Ovis aries: one gene and its partner. The protein of the gene in region 2 interacts with the protein of the main gene of each other region in a biochemical or structural test. Links are inferred from orthologs where the notes say so. Each region holds a gene or a part of one and is shown on either strand. Other genes may lie near its edges.

Evidence for each region. The genes of interacting proteins can lie anywhere in the genome.
Region 1: the proteins of PSTPIP1 (region 2) and PTPN18 form a complex in vitro, tested with the Homo sapiens proteins (2 studies listed by BioGRID and IntAct). The link is inferred for Ovis aries from reciprocal best matches to the Homo sapiens genes PSTPIP1 and PTPN18.

What each region holds. Positions count from the first base shown.
Region 1 is NC_056055.1:114,200,872-114,211,387, reverse strand, and holds the start of PTPN18 (tyrosine-protein phosphatase non-receptor type 18), read right to left. Parts: upstream 5,602-10,516; 5' UTR 5,535-5,601; coding exon 5,442-5,534; intron 3,157-5,441; coding exon 3,048-3,156; intron 2,786-3,047; coding exon 2,709-2,785; intron 2,630-2,708; coding exon 2,534-2,629; intron 2,429-2,533; coding exon 2,390-2,428; intron 1-2,389. UniProt on the Homo sapiens protein: Differentially dephosphorylate autophosphorylated tyrosine kinases which are known to be overexpressed in tumor tissues.
Region 2 is NC_056071.1:29,928,479-29,938,198, forward strand, and holds the end of PSTPIP1 (proline-serine-threonine phosphatase-interacting protein 1), read left to right. Parts: intron 1-194; coding exon 195-257; intron 258-867; coding exon 868-966; intron 967-1,821; coding exon 1,822-1,867; intron 1,868-2,784; coding exon 2,785-2,864; intron 2,865-3,410; coding exon 3,411-3,509; intron 3,510-4,543; coding exon 4,544-4,640; intron 4,641-5,171; coding exon 5,172-5,262; intron 5,263-7,492; coding exon 7,493-7,548; intron 7,549-7,767; coding exon 7,768-7,901; intron 7,902-8,825; coding exon 8,826-8,957; 3' UTR 8,958-9,130; downstream 9,131-9,720. UniProt on the Homo sapiens protein: Involved in regulation of the actin cytoskeleton. May regulate WAS actin-bundling activity. Bridges the interaction between ABL1 and PTPN18 leading to ABL1 dephosphorylation.

The DNA of each region.
Region 1 (10,516 bases), on a different chromosome or scaffold from region 2:
GAATAAGGCTGAGCACCGAAGAATTGATGCTTTTGAACTGTGGTGTTGGAGAAGACTCTTGAGAGTCCCTTGAACTGCAAGGAGATCCAACCACTCTATCCTAAAGGAAATCAGTCCTGAATGTCCATTGGAAGGACTGATGTTGGAGCTAAAACTCCAATACTTTGGCCACCTGATACGAAGAGCTGACTCATTTGAAAAGACCCTGATGCTGAGAAAGATTGAAGGCAGGAGGAGAAGGGGACGACAGAGGATGAGATGGTTAGATGGCATCACTGACTCAATGGACATGAGTTTGGATAAACTCTGGGAGTTGGTGATGGACAGGAAAGCCTGGTGTGCTGTGATTCGTGGGGTCACAAAGAGTCGGACACGACTGAGCGACTGAACTGAACTGAGACAAAAAAATATGAATAATACAATTTGAGTAATACTATTCACAAGCTTGTACTAATTGACAGTTATAAAACAGTTGAAGGTTTCAACACTCCTGTTGGGAACTGACAGAACATTTAGAGAAAAGAAATCAGTAAAGATCTATCAGTTCAGTTCAGTTCAGCTCAGTCACTCAGTTGTGTCCGACTCTTTGTGACCCTATGAATCGCAGCACGCCAGGCCTCCCTGTCCATCACCATGTCCCGGAGTTCACTCAGACTCACATCCATCGAGTCCATGATGCCATCCAGCCATCTCATCCTTAGTCGTCCCCTTCTCCTACTGCCCCCAATCCCTCCCAGCATCAGAGTCTTTTCCAATGAAGATACAATAAAGATATAAAATATTAAAGTGTCTTTCAAAAAGACACAATCAATTTGACCTGATATTTATAGAATACTCAACCAAGCAGAATACAAATTCTTTTCAAGTGCACATAAAACATTTACCAAGATAAATCGTATTCATGGCCACAAAACAAGTTTCAATACATCTGGAATAATATAAAATTGTTCTTTGACCACAATGGAACTGAAATTTAATAACAGGAAGATATATGGAAAAGTCCCCAATATTTGGAAATTAACCACAGCTATAGTCAAATACCATGTCAAAGAAGAAATCACAAGGGCAACTAGAACACATGTTGAATTAACTGGAAAAAAAAGACAACATCGTTTATGGAATGTAGCTAGAGCAGTGTATGGAGAAAAATGAATGGCGTTACTTACACATGATAAAAATCACAAATCTTTTATCTAAGCTTAAAGAACTAGAAAAAAGCAAGTTAAACCTAAACCAGAAGAAAGGAAATGATAAAGATAAAAGAAATTAATGAAATAAAAATTTAAAATTAGAGAAAATGAATAAAATTCAAAGCCACTTCTTTGAAAAAAATAAAACTAATAATCCTCTAGCCCAGAGATTGGCTAACTTTCTATAAACGGCCAGATAATAAATCTTTTAGACTTTGGGAGCCATACAGTCTACTTAACTTGCAACTACTGAACGTGACAATTGTGGCATGTATACCCTATGTAAACCAATGAGCATGACTATGTTCTCATACATTTTTATTTACAAAAACAGGCAGCAGGACAGATTTAGTACAACAGTTAAAAGTTTGATTCTTTATTCTAGCCAGACCCAATAGCCAGGAGAGAAGATATCACAACTACCAAAATTAGAGATGAAAAATGTACATCACTATAGATTGCATAGACTCCATGATCAGCCAGCTATCCCAGCCGGCCAGGATGCAGAAACCATGTGCCTTCAGTGATAATACACATTTATTGAGTAACTAATTTATACTTATGGGCAAAGCAAAGATCCCTGCTCTCCTGGAACTTTGCTTCTACTCAGGGAGACAGAATAAACAATATACACAATGCATTTGTAGATTATCTTATATTTCATTCAGAAGTTGCTAAGAACTGTGAAGGAAAATGAAAGTAGGACCGGGGAAGGAGAGTGGGAGTTTCAAATGGGGTGAGGTCCAGGAAGATCTCATTGAGGAAGGAGCATTTGAGCCAAGACCTGAGGGTGGTGATGCAGCAGCCCAAGGGGAAAAATGTCCCAGGCAGAGGGAACAGACGGAACATAGGACTCGAGGCAGAACAAAGGCCCCAGTGGTCGGAGCATAGTGAATAAGTGGGAGAAACATGGGGAAAGACATCAGACTTGTACTGGGGAAGCCACAGTTACAGGGTCTTATGGTCTATGGGGCAGGAAGTCCAGCAGGAGAGGGTTGCCAACACTGGAAGGATGAACCACACGAATAAAAGGAAAATGATCATTTAAAAAATTAAAGCCAGTAATAGTGGGCTTGGCAGAGCTACAGTGGGGTCACTCCAAGAACCCGTCCCTTGAGTCATGGGATCAGGGGAGAGCTAGTGAGATTTCTCCTGTCTCCTGCATAAGGACATGCACTCCAGAGGCTGAGCACACCTACCCGTCCGTTCTCCATCTCCTGACAGGCCATCAGGATGACCTAGACATAGGGGTAAGGGAGGAGAATCAGTTTAGGGGGTGCAGTTATCAGGGCCAAGGGAGGACCCAGAATACTGGCCACACCTCCCCTTCCCCCAAAGCTGACCTTGACCCCAAATTCCCAGATGAGGCGCCAGAAGTCTAGCAAGGTGTGAGGCAGGGGTCCTTGCGTGGCGATGTAGGCCTGGCTTCCGTCTGCACCCTGGTAAAGTCTAAGTTCACTATCGAGGTTCTGCTGTCACCTCCACCACCTCTGCCCCTTTCCTGACTCCCAGCCTGACCCTGATGAAGTTGCCATTGATGTAGTCGCCATGTCCCTCTTCCTGGAGCAGGGAAAGGATCACTCGTGTCTGATCGTCTGCCAGCAGAAGTGAGAAACATGGACTTTGTGGGTGACAGCCCTGATGGCCTCCCAGATGAAAGCCAGCAGGGGACGGCACACCTGGGGGGATCCCATCAGGGTGCACTGGTGGGATGCTGGGGATAAATGCAGCCAGAGCAGGGCTCCTGGAGGGAGAGTTCTGGGAAGCCAGTAGGACACAGGGACCCTGGTTAGCACCTGGATCCCACAGCGTGGGGGCACCGACTCCTCCGGAGGCCCCACCCCCACCCCAACTTACAAGGCAGCACATCCTTGTAACGGTTCTTCCTCAGGTTCTCGGGGCGACTGCCGGCCTCCGTTGAGCACACGCTTTCCGTCTTCCAGGCGGCTGAGTGGGCCCGGATGTCCTGGTGGGAGGACCGCAAGAAGACCCGGGGGTGGGAAGAGAGAGCAAGAGAGGAGCCAGATCAGAGGCCTGGGACACTGAGGCTCTCAAAGGGATATGCGGCAAGTGCCCTATGAAAGGTGAGTGCTGCGTCCAGATAGTGTTGCTGCTGCTAAGTCGCTTGAGTCGTGTCCGACTCTGTGCGACCCCATAGACGGCAGCCCACCAGGTTCCCCCGCCCCTGGGATTCTCCAGGCAAGAACACTGGAGTGGGTTGCCATTTCTTCTCCAACGCATGAAAGTGAAAAGCGAAAGTGAAAGCCCTCAGTCGTGTCCGACTCTTAGCGACCCCATGGACTGCAGCCTACCAGGCCCCTCCGTCCATGGGATTTTCCAGGCAAGAGTCCTGGAGTGGGTTGCCATTCCCTTCTCCAATATTGATTCAATAACAGTAGCCATTCAGAGTGCCCTCTCTATGCTAAGCCCTGTGTAAGGGCATTGAACTATCTGCAAGGTGCCTCCGAAGTTGGTATTATTGACTCCCCGTTGTGCAGTAAGAAAGCTGAGGCACCACATGTGTCAGTGACTTTCTGAAAGTGCCACCCAGGAAGTGGGTGAGTGTTGAACTCAGACCTCTGAGCATCTGTCCCCATACCCTCAGTGTGTATTTACATCTTATCATGAACAATAATTGTAATATATTATGTACTTAACATAACAAACATGATACACAAGAAGATAATATACAATGTATATGAATTAAATGTATAACATTACTTATGTAGATACTATTAGGTGCTTTAATACTGTTAGATTGTTATGATCAGTGAATAGTATTGCCATCATCACCAGGCATTCATAATCATGACAATAATAAATAACACCTACCAAGCCACCGTGACTGCAAGCCACCATTCTAAGTGTTCTTACACCCATCAGGTAGGTTATTTAAGTCTTCATGGACACATTTCTGCAGTAGATACCACTATGGATATTTCTACTATGTAGATAAGGAAACCAAGGCCCAGAGAGGCCTTGGAAGATTCTTGTGAGCGCAGGAGATTGCAGGAGGCTGGCCTCCAGCAACTGGCACTGCTCACCACCCAGCTTCTGCATAGGGATTGTCAGCACTGCTCACTGTCCCAAACTGGACCCAGACCTGGATGGATATGATGTCATGTACTACCTGGGTATCATATGTTTAGATTTATTATGCACATTTTCATATTGCATAAATTATATATTCTGCATTTATTACACAGTTCTTATACATAATATTTATTTTATATTTGTATAAAGATGTATACTTTTATTATTGTTTCTTAGAAACTTGAATAACTGCTCATTTTATAAATGAGTTTTCATGTTTATTCTGTTCTATGAAATTAATGTATAAGTTATAGTTTATGACATATTTATACATATACACTATATATTTTATATTAATACAATTACTTCATAAGTCTGTTCTCTATTTCTATTGTTCTTAATGAATATATAGTCATTTATTACTTACATATATTTATCAGACATTTCTAAATTTAAGATGTCACCATATATGATTCTAACACGTTTCTATGTTATTATATTTAAAATATCTCAGTACTTGTACAGTGCGATGCCTACGACGCTGCTGCATTAGCACTCCTTACGTATAGCTTGCACTACCCCACTGTAAAGTTTAGGATTATTTATAACTAGTGGCAAAGCCGCCTATAAAGTAAGCGCTCAAGATGTGCTAAGCGCGGTTTACCCACACTGGCTATTTTAATCCTCAGGTCAGTTTCGTCACATTTCACCCTAGGAGAAACAGAGGCCACAGAGACCGGATAAAGAGCCTCAGGCCACATCGCCTGTAAGAACTGGCCTCCATATCCTCACTGCAGCGGGGCCTCTTGGTTCCTCTTTTCCCAGCCCCTTCCTCCCCAGGACCACAGTGGGGACAGTGACCACCCGGTCGCCTGGAGCGGCCGAGCATCGCGTGAGCGCTCGCCTTCGCTCAGCAACCCGACGATACCGGGAGCGCAGCTAGCGCGCAGGGACCCGAGGGCGTGTGCGGCCCCGCCCGGGCCGGCAGTGGACTTCGCCCTCTGGGGCTCTGCAGGCAGAGGGTGAAGACGGGCAGGGAGAGAGAGAGTGCGACAGAGAGAGGTGCTGGGGAGAGAAAAACAGAGAGATCTCGAAGTGAGAAGACGACCCTGGACGCCGAGAGAGAAGCAAAGTGCAGCAGGGTGCACAGAACAGACGGAGGTCCGAACTGTCCAGGGCGAGGAGCAGGAGCTCGGCAGTCCACACTCGCCCACTCACGCTGAACTCGCCGGCGAAGACCACCCCATCCCTGCCGCCTAGTGCTTCCAGCTGCTCCAAGAAGCTCCGCGCAGCATCCAAGCTGCGGCTCATGGTGCCGCCTGGGAGTGAGGTGCAGTCCACCTGCACCTCCGCTCTCTCGGCTGGGGTAGACTCCGCTGAAGGCAGCCCAGGCCCCACCTCAGATCTCGCCGGCCAATGGGAGTGCTCAGCGGCAGACAGGGCGCGCCCCTCAGCCAATGACACTCAGAGCCCGCCCCAGCCCCGCCCACAGGCTACCGGACTGGGGGCGCTAGGTTCCCCTGGCTGCGCGTGGGGCTAGAAAACTGCGCCGGCGCTTCAATTTTTTTGTCTCCGCGCGGGCTGGATGAGTCCCTATGGTCCTATGGACACCGCCTCTAGCTTGGGCCCGGGGTCCACGCCCTGGCATGGCGGATGGCTACATGCCCTCGCCCGGCCTCCAGGGAGCTGGACGTATCCGGATCCCAACCGGGGTGGCGTGTCAGCTGTGAGTAAAGACGGCTGCCTAGATGAAGCTGAAATTCCTGACTGGGAAACCCTATGTGGAGACCTTACCCCGCTCTGCGCTCCGGCGGAGTCCAAGGGAGGTTGGGAGAGGTTGCCGCGGGGGGAAATGACAGCCGGGCACCTGAGCTGCGAGAAAGACAAAATTTCTTGAGGTTCCTTCTTTTTCTGGGTCGGGCCAGGAGGAGCCGAGGGAGCCAGGATCATCCTAATTTGGGAATCTCAAGCTGTATAAAACTTCCAGGAAACTGAGAATTGAGGTTTTGGGAGTGGGTTCCAGGGATCTAGATGTTCTCAACGCTTTTAAGGATTTTTTTTTTTTTTTCATTCTCATACTGTCGTCTTCAGAAAATGGGGAGAAGGCCAGAGGACAGCTGCTGCCCGGGAGCCACAAAGGGAGAGAGTAGGTAGGAGCCAGGGGCCCCTGCCAAGGGCCGTTCAGTGTAGGTGAGCTACCCCATCCTTCACTTTGGAGGTAAGGAGTGTGAACCTAATTCATTAGGGAGTTATCAGAATGTTGTCACAGACAGGCAAACTGTTTCTTAAACGACTGAGGTCTCTGGCTCTTGTCCCAGCCACTCAACTTCGACAGGCAGGATGAAAGCAACCATAGGTCATATGTAAAGGGATAAGCATGGCTGTATTCCAAACTTTATTTGTGGACTTTAAATTTTAATTTCATGTGTCAGTCTTTTTTCTTTGGTGGGCTGCAGGCTGTAGGTTGCCAATCCCTGTTTAAGTGACTGAGAAGGCAAAAAGCAGGTCAGTAGGGATGTTTCACTTATTGAGGGATTGAGTCACTGCTGACTCACTGTCATCTTTGAAAGTTCAGAGGTCAGTAGTGGCCACCAAGGATTGACGTTATCAGTGAGTTCATTGCAGGCCAGTGAGAGGTCCTTCGACGTTCATGAGACTGTCAGTAGATGTCAGTGGCAGTTACTGGGAGGTCAGTGATAGACTGAAAGTAACCAGGGAGCCATTGGGACTTGGAGTGTTAGTTTACCAAGTAATTGAGGGGTCAAAAGGGTCAGACAAGTTCATTGAGGACCCCTAACCAGGGCTCGATAGTGAATGTCAGTGTAATCACTGAGATTTCTTGGATGGTCTCAGGACTCAGTTGTTGCACTCAGGGTGGTGGGATAAAGAAGCATCACTGAACTTTGAGAAAATATGGAGGTCCATTGGAGGAGTCACAGAGACACTTGAGCCCCTGAGTAATCATGGACACTAATAGCAATCATTTGGGGATAGTGGACACCAGGGTGAAGGAGGAATATCCACTGCGGATCACAAATGGGCTTTCTGAACCCTGCTAGTAGTGAATGTCATTGGATGTCAGTAGTCACTGGAAACTGTCAACCTGGAGAGCAGAGGCAACACTGAGGCTCAGTGAGCCCTGCGTATCTGTGGTGGTGACCAGGAAACAGGGCAGCTAATGCAGCAAATGGGTTCTGGCTAGCTGGGGGATCTCTGTTCCACTAGGGGCTGGAGGTGTGTTTGTCCAACAGGATGGGGTGTCTATATCTATCTGTCCCCCTGGTTTAGGGGACATCTGTCTATCCTGAGCACCTTTCTGATAGGCTGGGGTCTTTCTTACTGGCAGAGTTAAGTCTGCCAAGCTAAAGATCTGGCTGGATAGTTGGCTGGGTAGTAGGATGTCTTTCCACTGTCTCTCTGCCCAGTGGTGGTACTTTGTCTATTCCTGAAGGATTCTGTCTTTCCGTTGGCTGGAAGCAGGGTGGGAGGGGTGTCCTGTCTGGACACAGGTCTCTCTGCATGCCTGGCTGGTCATCTTCCCACCTGTCTAAGAATCTGTCCATTGTTTGGCTGTCTTGCTATGTAGTCTTTGCCTGGGACTTTATCTGGAAGTCTGTCTTACCAGAGGTTTGTGTGTCTGTCTGCCTGTCTGGGGATCTATCTGCCTATCTGGCCTGTGAACAGAGTGGCTGAGACTTCAGTCCACCTGCCCTGCTTCCGCCATGGTTCACTGTTTCTGGGTGCACATTCACCCACAACTCCAACCTTCCTCCCTGGCCCACTCTATGTCCTGCTCTTGTGAAGTGGACTGCCATCCTGACACTGGCCACCCCTCCATGTCTCTTCAGCATCCAGACTCTCCTGGCTTGCCCTCCACTCAGCTCGGGCACTGGGTGTGGGGGGGTGGGAAAACCAGCAAGACCTCCTCCAGCAGCCGTGGCTCACCCCTCTCCATTCTCCCAGAGAACTGCAAGCTGTGTTCTTGCAATGGGACTCACTGCTGCTGCTTGCCCTCTTGCACACACTCCTGGAGGCAAGCAGTGGGAACAACTGGCACTGTCCTGCAGGTCCTGGGCACTCCAACACCCACATGCCAGTCTGCCACCTGCTTGCCAGCTCAGAGGCCAGCAACAGAGCCAAGTGGACAGGGTGCTGGAAGGTGCTCAGGGAAGCTTTCACAATACTGTGCAGAGCCCAGCCTAGGCTGTTGTTACAAAGGGGAAATCGTAAACAGGAGAGACCACCTTCACCTAGAAAGCTTGTGAGGAGACAGTCTGAGACTACTGAATTCCCTACTGAAAAGTTCCTCTCCAAATTCCTTATTTAACTAGGCCACAAGAGGGAAGAAGAAATTTGAAAAAATTCTCCCACTGCTCTTCTCTGTTAAGAACCTTTGGTTGGGTGGGCTTACCTATTGGCCCACCTACAAGTCTGCCATTTGGCAAACAGAAAAATGCCACTCACTCAAGTTATAAATGGCAGTTTGCATTCACCAGTAACTGGTGGTAACTGTCTCTGTGAGGGCTTTTATTCCAGACTCTGGAAACTCTACAAGACAAACCAATTTCCTAACAGAATAAATCACAAAGAAAAAAGTTAAAGAGAACACAAATGCTCATAGCAGCATTATTCAAAACAGCCCCAAAGTGAGAAACCAAATTTCATAAACTGATGGATAAAGAAAATATGGTGTACACTGTTAGGGTCCACAAGGGGCTCATGGCGTATTGTTAAAAAAATGGCCCATTGTAGGTGACCTGACAAACAAGAGATGAAGTCACAGTGACCACAATGCCCTGGTGGTGGGCTGTTTTTTCCTTAAGGCAATATCCTGTTTTTCCCTGCTGATGCCAGTGTCTCAAGACTACATGGCCACCAGTCTCTGCAGGGTCTCTGGTCCTGGCACACACAAGGTTGATTTGAGCCTTCTGAGCATCTCTGCCGGGTATGGGGTTTGATTCTAAGCGTGAATTCGCCCCTCCTACCATCTTGCTGGGGCTTCTCAGCCCTCGGACGTGGGGTATCTCCTCACAGCTGCTCCAGCGCCACGCAGTGGCTGCTCCAGAGCCTACTGTCTTGCTGGGGCTTCTCCGACCTTGAACATGAGTTCAAGGGTTTGAGTGTCTCCAGTGGAGGTACGGGTCAGCAGTGGCCTGCCGCAGGGGCAGGGGCTCTGGGTACAGCAAACCTGGGTATGGCATAAGCCCGCTTGGAGGAGGCCGCCATTAACCCCACCACAGAGCTGCCAGGACTTACAAAGCCCTTGGAAATAGACTCTTGGAGGGCACAAACAGAACCTTGTGCATACCAGAACCCAAGAAAAAGGAGCAATGACCCCACAAGAGACTGACCCAGACTTGTCCATGAGTGTCCAGGAGTCTCCAGTCGAGGTATGAGTCAGTGGTGGCCTGCTGCAGGGTTGGGGGCACTGAATGTAGCAGTACACGCCTGGGGCCTTTTGAAGGAGGTCACCATTATCTTCATTGGATTCCCTGGTGGCTCAGACGGTAAAGCGTCTGCCTGCAATGCGGGAGATCCGGGTTTGATCCCTGAGTCGGGAATATCTCTAGAGAAGGAAATGGCAACCCTCTCCAGTACTCTTGCCTAGAAAATTCCATGGATGGAGGGGCCTGGTTGGCCTGCACCATAGTTTGGAAGTGAAGCAGCTCAGTTGTGTCCAACTCTTTGCGATCCCATGGACTGCAGCCTACCAGGCTCCTCTGTCCATGGGATTTTCCAGGCAATAGTACTGGAGTGGATTGCCATTTCCTTCTCCAGCGGATCTTCCCGACTCAGGGATGGAACCCAGGTCTCCCGCATTGTAGACAGACACTTTACCTGAGCCACCAGGAAGTCCGAACTCCACCATAGTTTGGCCCTAGGTAAATAACAGGGAAGGAACACAGCTCCACCCATCAACAGAAAATTGGATTAAAGATTTACTGAGCACGGCTCCATCCATCAGAACAAGACCCAGTTTCCCCCCATCAGTCTCTCCCATCAGCAAGCTTGCATAAGCCTCTTTTCCTTTTCCATTTGAGAGCAGACAGACTGAAAATCACAATCACAAAAAACTAACCAATCTCATCATAAGGACCACAGCCTTGTCTAACTCAAAGAAACTATGGGCCATGCTGTGTAGGGCCACGCAAGACGGATGGATCATGGTGGAGAGTTCCGAAAAAACGTGGTCCATTGGAGAAGGGAATGGCAAACCAGTTCAGTACTCTTGCCTTGAGAACCCATGAACAGTATGAAAAGGCAAAAAGATAGGACCCGGACAGATGAACTCC
Region 2 (9,720 bases):
CGGGCTCCTCTAGCCTTCTGTTGGGAGCAGCAGTTGTGAGAGAGCAGGCTGATGGAGGGGGAGGGCAGCTTGTCACTGCCCCATCAGAGCCAGGAGGGGAGCCTGGGCCTCCTCCCAGGGACACCCCATCCTCTTGGCCTAGGGGAGCCTCCTGAGGCTACAGCCCCACGCTCAGAGCCTCATGTCCCCTGCAGTACGAGGCTGTCATGGACCGTGTCCAGAAGAGCAAGCTGTCGCTCCACAAGAAGGCCATGGAGGTGAGCCTGGAGGGGCGGCTGTGTTTGGGGTGTGGATCCTAGGAGCCTTGGGATAGGGCTGGGCTCAGGCTTCCATCCAGCAACAGGCACAGCAGCCTGTCAGGTTCCTGGGGCGCACTGGCTGCCAGGGTGCCATGCAGATCAGCCCGGGGGCTCTGCCCCCTACCCTTGTTGGGGGTGGTGCTTCTGACTGATGGGTAAGCAACCAGTCTCAGACAGTGGTCCACAGGGTCACACACGCTGGCAGCTGGGGATTCCGCAGGTGAAGGGAGAAGGGACTCCTGAGCTGTCTGAAAGGACCGCGTGCACAGGGTCTGGCATCGTGATGAAACACAGCATTTCCCGAGCCCTGCAGGTGGTCTGACGTGACCACACCTCTGAAGAGGCGGGGGCATGGACCAGGCTACACTGTCCCCAGTGGAGAGGGGGGCCTGGGAACAAGACTCCCTTCTTCATCTCCATTCCAGACCCCGAGATCTCTGTCCCTGGTGTGGAGGCCCCCTTTCCATCTACAGCCCGACGGGGAGAAGGGAGGTTGGGCTCAGGAGCCTCACCTTGGGGCCCCCAAGTCACGCCCCTCCACACCGCCCCCTCCCTCCCCCCTGCCCAGTCCAAGAAGACGTATGAGCAGAAGTGCCGGGATGCAGATGACGCTGAACAGGCCTTTGAGCGCATTAGCACCAACGGTCAACAGAAGCAGGTGGAGAAGGTGCGTGCAGTCACCGAGGCTGGGCAATCTCATGGGGCTGGGGGCAGGGTGGGAAGGGGTGCCGCAGACTTCCCCAGGCAAGGTTTCCTAGAATCTCAAGGTCTAGATAGTCAGTTTGATCCCCTTTGCTGTCTCCAGGCTGCACCCAACGACCCATTCCTCAGAGCAGGCCCACTGCAGCCCAGGCTCAGAGCCCACAGGGCAGACACTAACCCTCACCCAACCCTTCGGAGAAGGGCTCAGTAGGCCCATGTCCCAGAGAGGAAACAGGCCCAGAGATGGTGAGTGACTTGTCCAAGGTCTCAGAGCCAGGCAGGAACAGAGAAAGGACCTCAAACCCAGGCTGTCCAGAACCCAAGCTCTTGACTACTCCGGCCTCTTGGCCAGGGTGGGAATATCAAAGCCCCCAGGACCCACGAACACATTTGGCCCATTGCACAGACAGGAAAGCTGAGGCCCAGAGAGGGCAGGGGCCTGCGGGTGAGTTGGTGGCAGCAAGTCAGGGACAGAGCCCAAGCCCCAACCAGCAGGTCCAGCAGTGGCTGTAGAGCCCCAGGTCTGCATTGCTTGCTCTAGGTCTTCAGGTCTAGTTTTCACGTGTGTCTGCATGACCGGGTTTCTGTTTTATTCCTATTTTATTAGAAAGAGCCTGTGGTCCTTTGTGGGGTGAGGCTGGAGTGGTTCCGGAGGGCCCCTCAGGGCTAGCGTCTGCTCTCCCTGCCCCATGAGAGGTGGCCGGGAGGTGCCCCATGTGACGGAGGCCCTTCAGGGAGGCCCAGGGAGGCCAGGGGCCCGAGGTCTGGGCTGGGAGGCGCGGGGCCGGGCCTCAGTGCCGCTTTCCCTCTGTCTTCTCAGAGCCAAAACAAAGCCAAGCAGTGCAAGGACTCAGCCCTGGAGGCAGGTACGCGGCTGGCCCGCCTCCTCAGCTTAGGGGGTGGGCAGCCCGGACATCTTTCCCCCGGCAGCACACTGCCTCCACCCTGGGACACAGTCCCACGCTCCTCACTCTTGCTTCCTTATGCAAGTAAAATGAAAAATTCATTTTCTCGCATTTGCCAACACTGTTCTTGGTGCTTTGTATGTTTTTACTAATGCTCACAACAATCCTATGAGGTATTCACTGTTACTATCCCTCTCTTAACAGGTAAGGAAACTGTGGCACAGAGAGGTTATTTAACTTGCCCAGGGTCACACAGCCAATAAGTCATGGTAACTGTATTTGAATGCAAGCCGTCTGGCTCCAGGGCTGAGGACCTTCACAGCCACTGATCAAGGGAGACAGGCCCACTCGTTGCACGTACACCTCTCTCTCTCTCTCATATACACTGGGACACATCACAGCCTTCTCTGGGCATATGTCTCCTCTATCCTCCTCCCGATGCCAGAAGATCCCAACAGCCCTCATCTCTGCTGACACAGCTCTGCCTTCTGCCACACCGCCTGTCCCAACACCCAGGCAGAGGCTCCCTTGGCTGGCGGTCACAGAGCTCACGGTCCAAGCCCGCTGGCTTCCTAGCCCACCAGCTCCCAAAGCTCCCCTTCATCCTTCTCCAGGGCCACCCCCTCTGAGCCTCAGCTTCTCATCTGGAAGGTGGGATGGTGAGAGGCCCAGACTCTGACCTTAGGCTCTGCCCCAGCCCGAGGCAGCTGGAACACAGTGAGCGCTGAGCACCTCTCCAGGAGCGGTACCAGGGTGAGGGGCCCTGACAAGCGCTCATCTGTGGCTCCAGCAGCCAGAGCAGGTCCCTCCAGGGAGGAGGAGGGCACTGAGGGAGCACAGGGGTGGGCTAGCTTCCCTGAGGACCCGTGTGCTTCCAGAGCGGGTGTACAGGCAGAACATCGAGCAGCTGGAGAGGGTGCGGAATGAGTGGGAGCAGGAGCACCGGGCCACCTGTGAGGTGAGTGACCCCTTGGTGCGGAGCTGATGCCCGTCCCTGCTCCGGCCGCTTCGTGGGGGAAGAGGGGACCGCAGTGGGGAAAGCCAGCCTTCCTTCCCTCATTCACTCATCCGCTCACTCCAAGGCCCTCCCCAGGGAGCTCCCTGCCTGCCTTTGTGCTTGGAGTCCCTTTCTGCAGGCAGGCAGGCAGGCATCCTTCGCTCCTTTTGGCTGAAGCCGCAACTGAGGCTTGAACAGAACCCATAGCTTCCCTGGGCTCTGATGATGAGCAGGGCCTGGGAGACAGGATTCAGGGTCCAGTGCTTCTCTTAAGACACACCCCAGGGGGGTGGTAGGGTCTGGGGAAGGGCAGGGGGCAGAGTCCCACAGGCAGTTCAACTTCCCAGAAGCCTCAAGGGCTGGCACAGAGGTGGGCGTGGGGACCCCCAGCCTTTAGGCTTCCTTTAGGCTTGGCTTCGGCAGGCCGGTTCTGGCTGGTCAACTCCAGCGGCGCTGTGGGTGGGGCCCGGCTTGGCCAAGCCCTACTGTGACCCCATCTCTCCTCAGGCCTTCCAGTTGCAGGAGTTTGACCGGCTGACCATCCTCCGCAACTCCCTGTGGGTGCACTGCAACCAGCTCTCCATGCAGTGCGTCAAGGACGATGAGGTGGGGGCTGAGGGCAGGGGGTAGAGGGGAGGGGTGAGGGGAGGGCAGCCTCCGGGCCACAGTGAGGCCGGTCCACCTGAGCCTGTGAGCAGACCTAGTCCTCTGTGGCCTGAGCCCTGGCCTCAGGGTCTCCGAGCCCAGCACCGAGCCTCTACCCCAGGCCCCAACGACAGGGAGCTCAGGACTGTGCAGGCCACGGCCTCTTGGCCTGGAAGACGTGCGTTGTGGTTACCCTGGCGTCTGCCCTCTCTGCTCGCCCCAGCCCTGAGGCCTCAGCTCTCCTATCAGAGCCCCAGAGCTCTATTCCCTCTGCTGGGAAAGGGAGGGGAGGGGAGGTGGACCCAGGCCCTCAGAGGTTTACAGAGGCTGGGGGACCCTGGGGTTGCCCTGCTCCAGGCCTGGTGCTTGCAGGAGCCGAGGTCCAGTCCCTCTTCTGTCCCCAGACATCTCTAGGGTGTCCTGGCTCCCCCGCCTTACTGAGCTCTACGTGCCAGGTGGGCCCTGCTCAGCAGAAAGGGGTGGCCACCTCCCTGCCAGGGGCCTCGATCTCTGCTGATGCAGCCCTCGCTTGCTCGTTTTCTGCCCTGACCCACCACTGTTACTTGCCTAATCCCTTCTGCCCACGGGTGTGGAGTTTTGGGCGCTTTCCCCCCCAAATGACTTGAGCCCACCTGGTGGCCTCATTGTAGCAGAGGAGGGAGTATGAGTTCTGAACCCTCTCATGCTAGACCCAAAGCCCAGCGCACTGACTTCATTTCCTGCTGTGGGATCTTGGGCAAGTCACTCTCCAGAGCTTTCTCATCTATAAAGGAGGAAGTCCTGTCTCCCATAGAGGATGGAGAAGGAATGTGCACACACTAGGTGCTCAGGAAACAGGAGAAGCTGCCAGCCAGGGCTCTAGCCCTTCAGGCAGGCCTGCAGCAGTTACACCTCAAGGCCCCCGGTCAGGGTTCAGACCCAAAGAGGGGGGCAGGCTTGATACTGTGGGCCAGGTGAAGCCTGGCCCCTCAGCTTCTGCTTCCCCCCACCCCCAGCTCTACGAAGAGGTGCGGGTGACGCTGGAAGGCTGCAGTGTGGACGCCGACATTGACGGCTTCATCCAGGCCAAGAGCACAGGCACCGAGCCCCCAGGTGAGGCTTGCCTGTGGGCAACACGGCTGCTGGGTCCAGGTCCTCCTTCCCTGGAAGGCCTGGCCTGGGTTCTCTGAGCCTCAACTGCCAGGACAGAAGCAGGGTGGCTCACAGCTCCCTTCTGGGTGCCAGGCCCAGGGGAAGGTCAGGGACAGAGCAGGCCCCTGGCTGGGTCCTTAATGTGCTGCCTCCTCGAGAGAGAGGACAGGCAGGGCCTAGGACACTGTAACACTCGAGGGGGGACAGAGGTAGGGAGAGGCAGGAGCCGCCTCAGAGCCCCCACTCCACTCCACGGTTTGGCACCGCTAAATCTTGAGTCTAGAACGTTCGGTCTCAGTGGTACCCACAGTGGGGTCTCTCAGGGAAGTGAAAGGGGGCCCCCTCCTCAAGCACCAGGGCAGGCCAGGGCCAGGATGGGAAGGTGGGCCCTGGTCTGGGTCTCCGGAGGGGGAGAGGATGGGGTGTCAGAGGGCACAGGTACCCCCTGCCCTGCCCTCGTCAGCCTGGGCCTCTCACACTTGTCACCTGCAGCGCCGGTGCCTTACCAGAACTACTACGATCGGGAGGTGGCCCCGTTGTCCAGCAGCCCTGGCGTCCAGCCATCCTGTGGCATGATAAAGAGGTGAGCGCCTGCTGGACACCAGCCGGCTGGGACACACAGAGCGGGGCCAGAGGAGGTGAGCTGCCAGGAAGGGGCCAGCCCCTCCTCCTGCAACTGGCTCTTCCCCACGTATTTATTGGGCACCTATTGTGTGCCTGGTGCAATGTCTAGGTGGGGGGCACTCTTGGGGGACAAGACAGACTCAATCTAGCCTCAGGACACCCTCAGCCCAAGGGGAGCCAGGCACGAAACAGTCGTACCCCACTTATTCACTAGCAACTGTGCTGGGAGACTCCAGGAGGGCTCACCCCTCGAGCTCTGCTGCTGGCCTGGTCGGAGCCTTGGACTGTCAGGCCCCTCAGCCGCTGCACAGGATCAGGGCAGAGGAGCGGGCCCTGCAGCCAGCGCTCTTGGAGAATTCTCCAGCTTTCTCCAAGCCCCCTTCCCTGGCCTGGCTGTGGTAGGTGCCAGGGTCCTGGCGTCAGGCCCCAGTGTGTCACTTGCACAACTCACACGCCTCCTCTAGGCCCAGGGCCTGTGAGTGTTGTGGGCAGACTCAGACCTAGGACCCTCCTGGTTCAGGTCTGTGATGACAGCCCACTGGGAGCATCATAGCCTACTCAGGGTGCACCCACCCTCCCACTCCCCCAGCCAGTTCCCCAAGTGCCCCATCTGTGGGCATCTAAAGGAGCATCGTGGCCTTCACATGGCACCTGTGCCCCATCCCCAGGCCTCCATGACCTCCTCTCTCCCTCCAACCTAGTGCAGAGGAGGCCCTGCCTTTGAAAGGTGGGTGTGGGTGGGGGTGGAGGCAACGGAGCTTCTGGCCCTCCGAGGATGGCTTATTTCTGAGGCTCGTGGGCCCCACGGCATGCTCCTCCAGGAACCATGAGACAGCAAGGACCCTAGGAGGTGGGCATTCCCACCCTCACTATCACACCAAAACCACAGGAGACTCGGACCTCCCTGCACCCCCAGTGAGGGCCAGATGCCTGCACAGGTGGTCACTTAGACAACAGGTCTGAAGAGCTCACTTGGGGGCAGGGCCGAGAAAGGACAGAGAGGAGAGGGGCCTGATGAGGACGAGAGAAAAGAGGGAAAGCAGTCCTGCAGGGGAGGCCTGGCTGCTGGAGAGGACAGGCAGGGACCCTTGTGTGGGGCAGCTGAAGCCAGGCAGGGCTGGGGAGGGGCAGGGGAAGTGAGTGGAGGGAAGAATGGAGTCGAGAGCGTAGATGACCCTGGGAAGGCAGGCAGTGGGGCGCGGCGCCTCCAGCCCCAGCCTGCTGGGCTAACCCTCCCTGGCAGGGCAAGTCTGCATCAGACCTTCCCACGCCTGCCAAGTCTACACTCGCCTATCCATGTGCTCTGTCCTGGACCCTCAGCTCCGCAGACGCTGCCCAGGAAAGGTCTCTGGGTCCCACCTCGCACTACAGGGCAGCTTCCTACAGGCCCTGCCCCTGCCTGAGCCCTCAAGACCCCTCGGTGTCTGGCCTCGTCCCTCTTTCAGTCTTGTCTCCTATACACCCCAAACTGGTCCACTCCACTCCCTCTGCCTGTACGACCTGCACCTCTGCACTCCTCTCCCAGTCACTGGCCATGCCTGGCACCCGGTCTCTGTTTGGTGAAGCTGAGTCTTTGCAGACTTAGCTTGAACCTACCAGGCCAGGAAGGTAGGTTCTACTCATGTAAGCTCTCAGCAGCTCTGCTTCAGGGCACCCACACGGGCCTCCGTACCAGGTGCCCCAGTGTCTGCCTCTTGCTTCTTGCACATTTTTTTTTCTTGTATTCAACATACTTGCATAAGTCTAGCTCAGTCCAGGTCTGAACCAAGCACAGAGGAAGGGGGTGAATCAGCCCAACACTTCCTCCTGGACGACCGCTTTGTGTGGTCGGGGAGTAGTAGGGCTGGCCAGGCTGGTGAAGGTCCCGCAGGGTGTGAGTGGGCTGAGCTCTAGGGGCAGCTCCTTTGCCTGTGGGGAGGCTGGCCAGATGGGGCCCAGGCCCTGGAGCACAGAAGTCTCAGAGCCGCCAGTTTGGCCCTGCAGGGAACAGGTACCGAGAAGACATCTACAGGGTAAGGGACTGGGAGGGTGCTGCCGGGGAAGAGCCACTGGGACCACCCTTTGGAGAGCCCTCATGCCCAGGGGCACCTCATAAGTCACATCTGTGCCCGGAAGCTAGGGCCGACCTTGCGGGCTCCCTGCCTCATCCACTCCCCCCACTCCGACTCACCTGTCCTTCCTGCCCCCAGGTTTTCTGGGCTGCTGCACGGAAGTCCCAAGACCACACCGTCACCGGCTTCTGCGGGTAATTGGGGGTGACAACTGTCACCCTGGCTGGGGGGAGGAAGAGGAGAGGATGCCTACTTGGCACAGATGGGCCTTCCAACAGCTGGGAGGTTAGGGGATGGGAAGAAGCTGAGCAAGTCTGGGGATGCTGTGAGTCTGGGGATGCTGTGAGTCAGGGGGCCTCTGGGGACTACTGATTTTTGCAAGGAGTGGGCACCAGGCCTCACTTTGTACTCAGCCTCCACAGAGACCCTGACTCCTACCCCTGACCGGAATGAGGGTGTCTACGCTGCCATCGCCGTGCAGGAGGCGCCAGGGCCCCCCACCGTGCCAGGCCAGGACTATAGGGCACTCTATGACTACACAGCACAGGTGAGGCCCCCTGCCCTCCCCTCCTTGCGTGGACACCAGCATGCCCAAGGGTGTGCTCACATGTGGGCACATGCACTCTGAGGGTGCTGGGGTGGGTGCCCTTAGAATAGCACCTGACATTCAGGAAGGGCCTGGTGCACACCTGCTGAATGAAAGCTCATGAACGGCACCAGGCCCTGGGTCATGTGGCGTCCAGGCAGGTGTGGGCACTGCTTGGGCTATGCATGTGTGCAGCCAGCTGGTGGAGCTGGAGCTACCCGAGGAAGTGGTCTGAGGGGCAGGCTCTGCATCCGTGGGTAAAGGCCTTGTTCCCCATGACCATGGGTGCCCAGAGCAAGTCATGGTCGGAACTAGGTCCTCAGCTGTGCATGGTTGATTTTCTGAAGCCCACAAGGGGAGGACGAGTCAAGGAGCCACAGGGCAGCTGTGCCCAGACCCCCAGAGACTCTAATTTGTCCCTGCTTTGAGGCGAGGGGTACAGAGCTGGACCCCAGATCCACTGGGACTGAGGCATCTCCTTGGGGCTTGGCTGGCTACACTGACTCCCAAAGCCTGTGCCCTGGGGAGGGGGCACAGCCCAGGAGAATGATGTGCTTGCAAGACAAGGGCTGGCTGTCCTGGGGAATAGCAAACACCCCTGCTCCTGACTTGCTAGCTTGCTGTGTCTCAGGCAGGGAGCGGGAGAAGGGAGCAGCTTGGAGGAAAAGCCAGGGAAGAAGCCCCAGGTTGTGACAAACCGAGGGGACAAAAGGCTGGTCTCTCAGGGCTGCCCTAGCCCGAGTGGCCTTCTCTTGCAGCCCCAGGAGGCCGCCATGTCTCAGCTGACAGCCCAGTTGCGAGACACTTACTGCCTGGGGGGTAGCCTGACCAGAGGCCCTCCCAGCAGGCCCCTTCAGCCGGATGGGTTTTCCTTCTCTTGCCCAGAACTCCGATGAGCTGAATCTCTCTGCGGGGGACATCCTGGAGGTCATCCTGGAAGGGGAGGACGGCTGGTGGACGGTACAACGGAATGGTCAGCGTGGCTTTGTCCCTGGCTCCTACCTGGAGAAGATTTAAGGAAGAGACAGAAGCCCCTCCCTGGACCTGTCCTGCCCGTGGGGCCAGCCGTGCCCCCACTACCCCCTGGCCTTGTGGGGGGCCTCAGACAGAGCCTGCCCTCAGGGAAGGTGCCAGCTGCTCCCCAGCAGTCTTTCCCACAGGGAATAAAGGAGCACTCTTTTTCCTCCTGGCATCTGTGTCCAAGTGCTCCACTGGGAGGAGGTAAAGGAGGGAGGAGTCCAGGAAAGCAGAGCTTCCCACCTGCAGTGTCATCACTGAGGCTCCAGCAGGGTCTGTGCCGGGTCTGCTCAGGATTGGGAGGTACCCTAGTGCGGGGTCCCTGCCAGGGAGACACACTCTTAGCTGCCAAGGCAAGAAGGCCACAGGGGTCAGGGAGGATGGGGGAGGGGTCAGGGAGAAGCCCACGAGAGCCAGGATGGGGGAGAGCAGGCCTCCAAGGGGCAGAGGGACTAGGGCAGGGCAGCAGCAGACAGGACATGAGGCAGGGAAGAGCACTGGGTCAGGGCAGTGTGTCAGCAGAGGGAGGAGGGAACACCTGGAACATTCTGGGGATGAGCAAGCTTAGCTCCAGGCAAGAAACAGGTGACAGTCTGCCAAGGCAGAGGGGCCGTGGTGCAGAGTCTGGTAAGGGGGGTCTGCAGGCCCGCTGGGTCACACTGTCTCCTGACCCAGCTGCATGCCTGCCACTCCTTCTCAAACATAGCAGATCCCACTAGGCAGGGGCCCCAGGTCTACACAGGCCCACCCTGCGCACAGAGGT